Linked DNA regions of Nothobranchius furzeri. The protein of the gene in region 1 purifies or fractionates together with the protein of each later gene. This does not show direct contact. Links are inferred from orthologs where the notes say so. Each region holds a gene or a part of one and is shown on either strand. Other genes may lie near its edges.

Evidence for each region.
Region 2: the proteins of kifbp (region 1) and kif14 purify together in Homo sapiens (affinity purification with mass spectrometry; 3 studies listed by BioGRID and IntAct, counting the BioPlex papers as one, with this or other methods). This does not show direct contact. The link is inferred for Nothobranchius furzeri from reciprocal best matches to the Homo sapiens genes KIFBP and KIF14.

The regions. Positions count from the first base shown.
Region 1 is NC_091749.1:53,758,498-53,762,911, forward strand, and holds the start of kifbp (KIF-binding protein), read left to right. Parts: upstream 1-1,441; 5' UTR 1,442-1,478; coding exon 1,479-1,940; intron 1,941-2,051; coding exon 2,052-2,150; intron 2,151-2,433; coding exon 2,434-2,513; intron 2,514-2,581; coding exon 2,582-2,640; intron 2,641-2,719; coding exon 2,720-2,844; intron 2,845-2,961; coding exon 2,962-3,055; intron 3,056-3,230; coding exon 3,231-3,343; intron 3,344-3,457; coding exon 3,458-3,607; intron 3,608-4,168; coding exon 4,169-4,243; intron 4,244-4,414. UniProt on the Homo sapiens protein: Activator of KIF1B plus-end-directed microtubule motor activity. Required for organization of axonal microtubules, and axonal outgrowth and maintenance during peripheral and central nervous system development.
Region 2 is NC_091748.1:63,552,284-63,556,098, reverse strand, and holds part of kif14 (kinesin-like protein KIF14), read left to right. Parts: coding exon 1-5; intron 6-179; coding exon 180-318; intron 319-938; coding exon 939-1,036; intron 1,037-3,815. UniProt on the Homo sapiens protein: Microtubule motor protein that binds to microtubules with high affinity through each tubulin heterodimer and has an ATPase activity. Plays a role in many processes like cell division, cytokinesis and also in cell proliferation and apoptosis.

The DNA.
Region 1 (4,414 bases):
CTCGCGCTGATCTGCGGCTCTCCCTCGCGCTGATCTGCGGCTCTCCCTCGCGCTGATCTGACTTGCTCTGGTCTGCGCGCAACGGCGGGCGGGAAGGGGGGGCGCTTTTGGAAGAGTTGTGCGACACAACGAATCGATGACGCAATTCGTTGCCAACGCTTTTAGTAATCGATTTTCATCGAATTTATCGATTCGTTGTTGCAGCCCTAGTTGCAGTGACCCTGGAACATTTCAGCGGCCTTCCCGCAGTCCCGCCCAGGCTGGGAAAGGAGACAGAGTTGAGCTGCCATAGCGACGGCACATTCCATATATCTTCTGAGGGGGGAGTTTTCGTTGGAGCCTTGCAGGCTCAAGGGCTCCAGATTCCGATTAGAAATTGTTTTGGGGCTAGACAGAGATAACTTCCTCTCTGTCTTACAGTTTGTTGGTCCTCAAACTCTCAAAATCCCAATAATGGACATTAATCTATCCCAATCCGTGCTGATTCGTTCACTCTCTCCTTGATGGCACCCTTTTGTGCCAATGAAGGAATCTCGGCCAAAGTTCCAAGCTTACGATTCATCTCGACAATTATTTGAGTCTGTGAATTCACAGCGCGGTGCAAACCATCTCTGAGCTCCGGGATCAGGCCAATAATCCTCGACAGCTCGTTAATTTTCCGGTAAGCCAGGTAGCCTCCAAGATCAATGAGCAGGAAACCTGACACCAACACCACGAATACCCACACGTCTTCAGAGTCCTCCACAGACAGCTGAGATAAACAAATCAAGTTCCACTGTTTCCAGGAGTCCATGATGTGTCCAACTGGGTCTGTCCCAGCGGGGCATCCAGGAGCCCCTTCTCCTGTTCTCATCGTTGAAAAAACTTTATCAATCACGTTGAGAGACCAACTGACGAGATCCATTTAAGTGAATTTCAGTTTCCAGAAAAATGCAGAAGCAGCCATGCACCCAGCACACACAGACAGACAGAGGGCCTTGAGGATAACATATGGAGGAGAGGAGGAAAAAAAGCGTCTGCACCCTCCAAGAGCCGGAAGAAGAATGTTCTAGAATGTCCTAACGTTTTAGGGCACCTCTTAGCCAATAGCGATGGCAGATTTAAATTCAAATGTAGTGCAGTTTTTACCTGACAATGACACAACACTGACAGTTTCAGGCAGAAATTTTAAATTTTAACTAAAATGCACTAAAGTGCTAAACTATTGACTACATGTGCCTGCAGCGCGATTACATACACATTTATATAGTTTATCAGAAAAAAAGTTGATTTGGGGTGACTTGCTCTTTAACGATTTTGGGGGAGAAAAATAAAATCTAAATAAACTCTTGTTTTGGTATTCTTTATAATAAAACGTAGAATTTTCACAGGTTTAGAAAAAAGTAACCGTTTTGTTTGAGGTCATTTGATTGTAGAGACCAGATTCGTCCAGCAGGCGGCAGTAATGCAACAATAAAAGGACCCAGAAGAAAACAAACATGGCGTCCTTCCATAGTGATGAGTGGAGAGCTATATGCGACAAATTCAACAACGCCCAAAATCTCACCGAAGTAGAATCTAGAAATGACCCAGAGAACGACCCGTTCCGTTCCAAGTACAAAGCCCGGGAACTTCTCAGAGAAATCTATTGTTCACTGAAGAGTTTAGAAGCTGGTGACGGTGAGCAGGACGCCGACGGCGGAGAGAGCGGGGACCAGCTACCGACGGAGCAGCCGGTGGACGACCAAAAGGAGGAGGGTGTCTTCTCTCGGGGCTTCAGCGGTGACTCCCCAGCGGGGAAGCGAGTGGCCAAGCTCGGAGCTGTGGAATATTTTCTGGGCGTCAACCATGTGGACACGGAGGAGCTGTCAGCCGGGCAGGAGCATCTGATGAACTGCATGAAGCTGCTGGAGAGATGCGGGGTGTCGTCGGAGAATGTGTCGCTGTTCATTAATGTCAGGGTAACGAACGATGACGTTTCATCTGGTTTAGTAATGGCGGAGTTGGCATCATTTCAGGTGTGTGAGTACATAAGCTGATGGTGTGTGTGTGTTTGCTCTCCGTTCCGTCAGAACCAGCTGGGCATCCTCTGGGCTGGCCGAGATGAGACCGAGATGGCTCAAGAGTACCTGGAAAAAGCGGAGTCCATCTACCAGCGTTACATGAAGGAGGTCAGTTAGGTTTTCTGAGCAGCTGCTGGTGCACTCACTCAAACTGTAGCTGATCCAGAACTGTTTTTATTTGGACATTTCATTTGCAGCACGCTTGTTCATCAGGACCACATTGCTCTGTTCCTGTTCTGTCATCACGCTTCTCACGACCCTTTCTGTGTATTTTACGCGGCCAATGAGTCTCGTATATATAATATATAATCACAAACACTGCAGTTGAAATTTTATGAGGTCAAATCCTCCCCAACATCTGGGATTGTTGTGTTTTCTGTGCCTCGTGAAGGATGGGACTCCTCCCACCGACATGACGGAGTACTTTAGTGCAGAGGAGAACCTGCTGACACACCAGGAAAGGATCAAGAGGTAATTTCTGAACCCCAGCTTCCATAAGCATGCTCTGCACGTTTTAAATTATATTTCTCTTCCACCAGGTTCGAGCTGGCCTACACCCACACCATGTACTACCTCGCTCAAGTGTATACAAACCTCGGTGAGTGTGTGTGGCTGAAGTTCTCGTTACCGGGTAGTTTAGATTACATATGGATGTTTCACCATCGTTTGTCTCTCAGGTCAGAAAGAGCGTGCTGCCACCTACTGCCACTGCACCCTGCAGAGACAGTTACAGTTAAACCAGTTCAACCCGATGGAGTGGGCTCTGAATGCAGCTGCGCTGTCTCAGTATTACATCCCAAAGGTACCACTTGGGTGCAACGGGAAATTGTTGACTTATGAGTTAAAATCTCAAAGGATGTTGATTCTTCTGTTGTAAACTTTAGTAAGCGTCTCGCATTTGTGCTGGTGTTCTTCTCAGGGCCGATACATGGAGGGCAGGCATTGCCTTGCAGCAGCTACTGTTGTTTCAGGTTTGGCTGGAGAGGTTCCGTCTGAGGCCGTAGCTCAGGAAAGTAAGAGCCCTCTCATGAAAACATTTTATTTAAACGCCTGTCCCAGAGTCGAGTAAACCGGCGTAGTTTTCACCTCTCCTTGCTTCACCTTGCTTCACCCTGTTCCTCTAGACTTGTTTATCATTCCTCTCTTTGGTCACTGGCACATCCGATCGTCTCTTTCTGTCCGACTCAGGTGAGGCGGAGAGCGAGCGCAGAGAACAGCTCAGACAGAAGAGAGCAGAGATGGCGAGATGTTGGATTAAATATTGTCTAAATCTCCTACAGGATGCTAAGAAACTCCTGGAGGTACTGTTTGTGCCTGTTAACGAAAACCAGAGAAACGGAATAAATTCCTCTAACTGTCAGATCTTCACGCTGGTTTTTAAGTCTTGTATGAAAGTCTTGTGGGTGTTCGTGCAGGACAACATCGGTGAGCTGGATACGGATCGTCAGGATGAGCTGAGGAGAGCGAGACGACGACAGGAGGAGGAGGAAGAAAAAGGGAGGAAGAGTGCTCTGCTGTTTGGCTCTGAAGACACTTTTGATTCTATTGCAAGTGTGGAAGAAAAGGTCTGAGTCACCCGAGTTCAAACTTTATGTTGGTTATTGTGTGGGTCTTTGTTTTATGAGGTCATAAAGCTTTGTTTACATTTTCTTTAAATGCACACACACACACACACACACACACACACTGCGTTAATGTAGTAAAGAAACATGGAGTGGATTAAGTTAATCTCACAATTATGATTTTGTATTTAAAAAATATTACACAAAAAGTGTGTAAAATTCAAGCATGCATGATAGAAGAAATGAGATGTTCGTATCAAGAAATTAAGAGTCAGAAGATGTCGGATATCTGTAAGATAACAAAAGGCCAATGTCGAGCAACCCTAGTAGCTTTGTCATTTTTATTTTTGTCAAATTCCTTCATTTCACTGTGCATTATGTTTTGTTTGTTTTTTTCATTATATAAGTTTGAATGTTTAATATAATAAGAGAATCTTAAAAACTATTAATGAGGACTTTGGGTGCCTTGTCAGTAGGGGGCGCTATTCTATAGATTTTATTAAGTCACTTTGCTGACTGCTTTTTTGTGTTTTTGGTTTGTTTTGCGTCCTCCGTCTCTTACAGGTCATGTGTTTGCTACCTCTGGACTTCACGGAGGCCAGATCGGTTTTTCTGGTGGGACAGAATTATGTCACGCAGGTACGCACAGCAGGAAACCGTCTCTGTTTAATTGACTGAAACTCGTATATTACATCACAAGTAGAGGAACTCTGCAGGAATGTGGAGTTTAAACACCTTACAGTAATTCTTTACCAGCATAGAACATCATTTGTATTTGAAACTATAAATTTGATTTTTCCAATTTTTAAA
Region 2 (3,815 bases), on another chromosome or scaffold:
AGCAGGTGGGAGAGACGCTTACTAATGCACAAATAGAGGTTTTAGGTACTTCTGCACCACGTTCCTCATCGTCATCGAGATTTGTCTGTGTAGAAGCAACGTTTAGCCTTTTTTAAACAAGCATTGTTGTGACTTTCGTTCAGATGAGCCAACTATGGTGTCGCTTTCTTCTGTTTTAGATACGAGAGCTCAGATCGTGAGAACCCGGAGCAGCCGGTGCTGCAGGTGCGGGTTCAGAACACAAAGCTGGGGATCTCCACCTTCTGGAGTCTGGACAAGTTCCAGAACAACATGGCTGCCATGAGAGAGCTCGAGCAGGTTTGAGTTCAGCCGGCTTTATATTTCATCTCAGAACAGTGGTTAACCGTCGGGTCAGGGGTGGGGAATCCTGGTCCTCAAGGGCCTCTATCCAGCAGGTTTTAGTTGTTTTCCTGCTCCAACACACCTGATTCCTGGATGAATCACCTGTTCAGCACCTCATAAGACTCTGCAGCAGCCTGTTAATCACCAGTGCATTCAAGCCAGGTGTGTTTAAGCAGAGAAACAACTAAAACCTGCTGCATGGCGGCCCTCGAGGACCAGGACTGCCCACCCCTGTATTAGGTAGTTCATGTCTATAGTCTGTAGGAATGTGGAGCACACACATTAGAATGTAAGAGTTGACACAGAGCTGTGTAAACTTCATTTAGCCTGTGCTACACTGAGATCATGCATGATGTGTGTTGAGTAAGATAGACGGCGCCGCTCTTCCTCATTCTGCATATTCACACGACATCCGCTCCACTTAATTGCCAATTTCCCTGCCGTTTGACCTTATTTACAGTCCAGAACGACGTGTTTTATGCCCGGCAGAGGAACGCCGCCTCACTTTGCTGCGCTTTTCTCATTAAGTTGAGTCAGTGCGACTGGGCTTGTCAGCAGTACTTTACTCTCCACAGGGGGATCCCACCTCTAAAGATGACGATGTGTTTTACGACCCTGATGATGAGTGGGAGCAAGATATATCAGCCTCCTCCGCCTCCTTTTCCCGTCGAAGGTAATTATCCCGCTCGTCTCCTCATCCTTCAGCCCGTCTTTTAGTGGGTTTTATTTATGGGGCTTTTAAAACTTCTGCAGTTGCTTGGTATTCCTCGTCAGCTGTGTGAAACGAGGAAAGTCGTCAGAAACGTGAGAGCCGTTCTGATGAGTGTTATTTTTCTTCTGAATGAACTGTCCTCGTGTTCAGCTTTTTACTTCATGCGCAAGAAGAAACTAAAAAAGGACTTTAAATAGAAAACTTTAAAAGAATTTGGCTATTTTGACAAGGTCCTCTGGGTTCCCACAGTGCAATTTACAACCTGGCTCGTATTTAGGACCCTGAGCTGTTCTTTTTTTTTTTTTTATGCCTGCTGAATATTTTCCACCTTGTTGTATTTCCTCTGTTTATTCATCTCATGTTCACAAAAGCCAAAAAAGACATTTGGAAAGGCAATGAAAGGTCTCCGTTTCTCAGTTCACAGCTCTTAAACGGAACATGTGCACACACGCACGCACGCACGCACGGAAAACCTGTTGTGAATGCAGAAACTTTTCCTCTAACAGTTCCGTTGTTGTTCTTGGCGTGGACTCCTGCTGGTGCCCAGATCGGCACCAGATCCAGCCCAAATAAAACACGCTACAGTTTGTGGGCCTGTCATACTTTTCTTTTTTTCTTTGACCCCGTTAAACTAATGCACATGTACTTCACAACCATAATCACTGCTGTTTATTCTCCTCCCCACTTCTGGAATAATCCCTGTAAATTAACTTATGTTTTCCTGCAAATTTTCACAACAAACACACCTAATTTAATTTAAATCACCCTCACAGTTTTTAAAGCTCATTTTCCTGCTTTCACTGAATGAAAGAAATGCACTCTGTGACCAGCAGCGCCTGTGTTGTTTGTAAACAAAACAACTCCAGATGGATGCCATCTAGGATTCCACATAAGTGTGACTTTAAAAGGAGGAAATCTTGACTAACTGCAGTTTGAGCTGCAGGCTGTTAAGGTGATCTCTAGTATGAATGAATGCCTTGTGAAGCGATTTTTGGCGCTCCTGTTTTAGGAAGCAGAAGTTGGTTGGAGGCATGTCGGGGTGGAAAACACCCAAGATTACAAGCCGTACTCTTTGATACTGATATGCGAACGTCTGCCCTCTGATTGGTTAAAAGCAACTCTTATAAACATGAATGTATAGTCTGGCCACGACCCACAGACAGGTTTCAGTTGTGGGGTGGTTGTCTTTCAAACGGTCTCCACATGTTATTGGACAAAGAACTGTAAGGGAAAATGAGAGGTTCTTACATTTTAATTAATGAGCCGTAAGGCGTGGGATTCCATAGGAAGTATGAAATCCGCCTCACGGATCGGGGGTTATTTAAATCAGAAGGTCGGATCTTTTTAATGCATAGATTATGTAACCGTTATGTATTCACTCAGAGACGACAGAATAAAGAGTCAAGTTTAAAAGTTAAGAATTTTATTACTAACGATTAAACTAGGCTTATTTAACAACTAAGTGTGTAGTGTAACTAAAAATGGATGAGGCGGTGAATGGATGACGTGTCATGTAAATCAGAACCAGCAAATCCGAAGAAGCGATTAGTTCTGACGGGAACTGAAGATGTTGGTTTGGAATAAGCTTGGGTTAGTTTCAGAACCAGCATGAGACACCATCAAGTCGGTCTACCTGCCTTGTGGAAGTCCTCTGTAGATCAGGAATGCCGAGGCCCTATCGGACCCTCTCTGGAAACCGAGCCGGTAGAAGCAGCCGCGGTTTCGACCAGACCTGTCTCGAGTTACCTCCGGCACACAACTCTTTATTGGTGTCTGTTCAGACCCAGCCTGGGTCGGTGGAGCTTTTATTCTGAAAGGAGCTGTTGTGTGGTCGCTGGTTGTTATAGCGACTGGATTTTTCAGCTTGTCGAGGTTCTTTCGGTTGAAGAGTTAAAGGTCGGATTGGCCACTCCGACGCTTGCTCTGGAACGCTTTGAACTGGCGTTCGAGCTGACGTGGCGTAGTTTTATACCTCGGATGTTATGGTTTATTGTCGAATGAAAATTACCAAACACCGTCAGAAGCACGCCTCCGTCAGATCTGTAAGGTTCTGATTGGATCAGTGAAATAATGTGTCATGTCTTTTTAACACTACGTGAAATTAGTCCTGTTGGAACATTTAAAGTGACATTTCTTCATTTCTAAGATCATAATAAAATAATTAATATTTTAATTTCACAGATCGGTCACATCTTATTATTGACTAACACTTTGATGGATTAGCTTTATTAAAATAGAGTTCTTTGATTAATTAAAAGAAAAGAGTTCATTCTTCTTTCTTCTGTCTTCATGCTGGAATGTAAACAGTTTGGAAGCAAATGCATGACCTTGAGGCTGTTTCATGCACACTGACACTGTGTCAAAGGGAAACAGCTGTTGGGTAGAAATGGCTCCTTCATCACGTTACAGAACAATGTGATGTGCTCATCACTACGGATGTCAGTCAACGGGGCAGTCCACCATACACTGTCTGAAGAAGACACAAATACATCCTTTTTCTAAATAAAGGACTTAAGTACCTCTATCTGCTCTTGACTCAAAGAAAAGCCCAAGTCTAAATAGTTCAAAGGTGATGCCAAAGCCATTTCAAACAAACCACCACCATCTTTATTGTTCCACTCAATCCCAAACTTATAGCGCTGTGATTGGAAAGACGCAACACTGTCCAGGCTAATGGTGGACCTGCTGAGGTTCTTATGGAGCGTGGCTAGACCACCATGCAGAGCAGAACCGTTTTGCT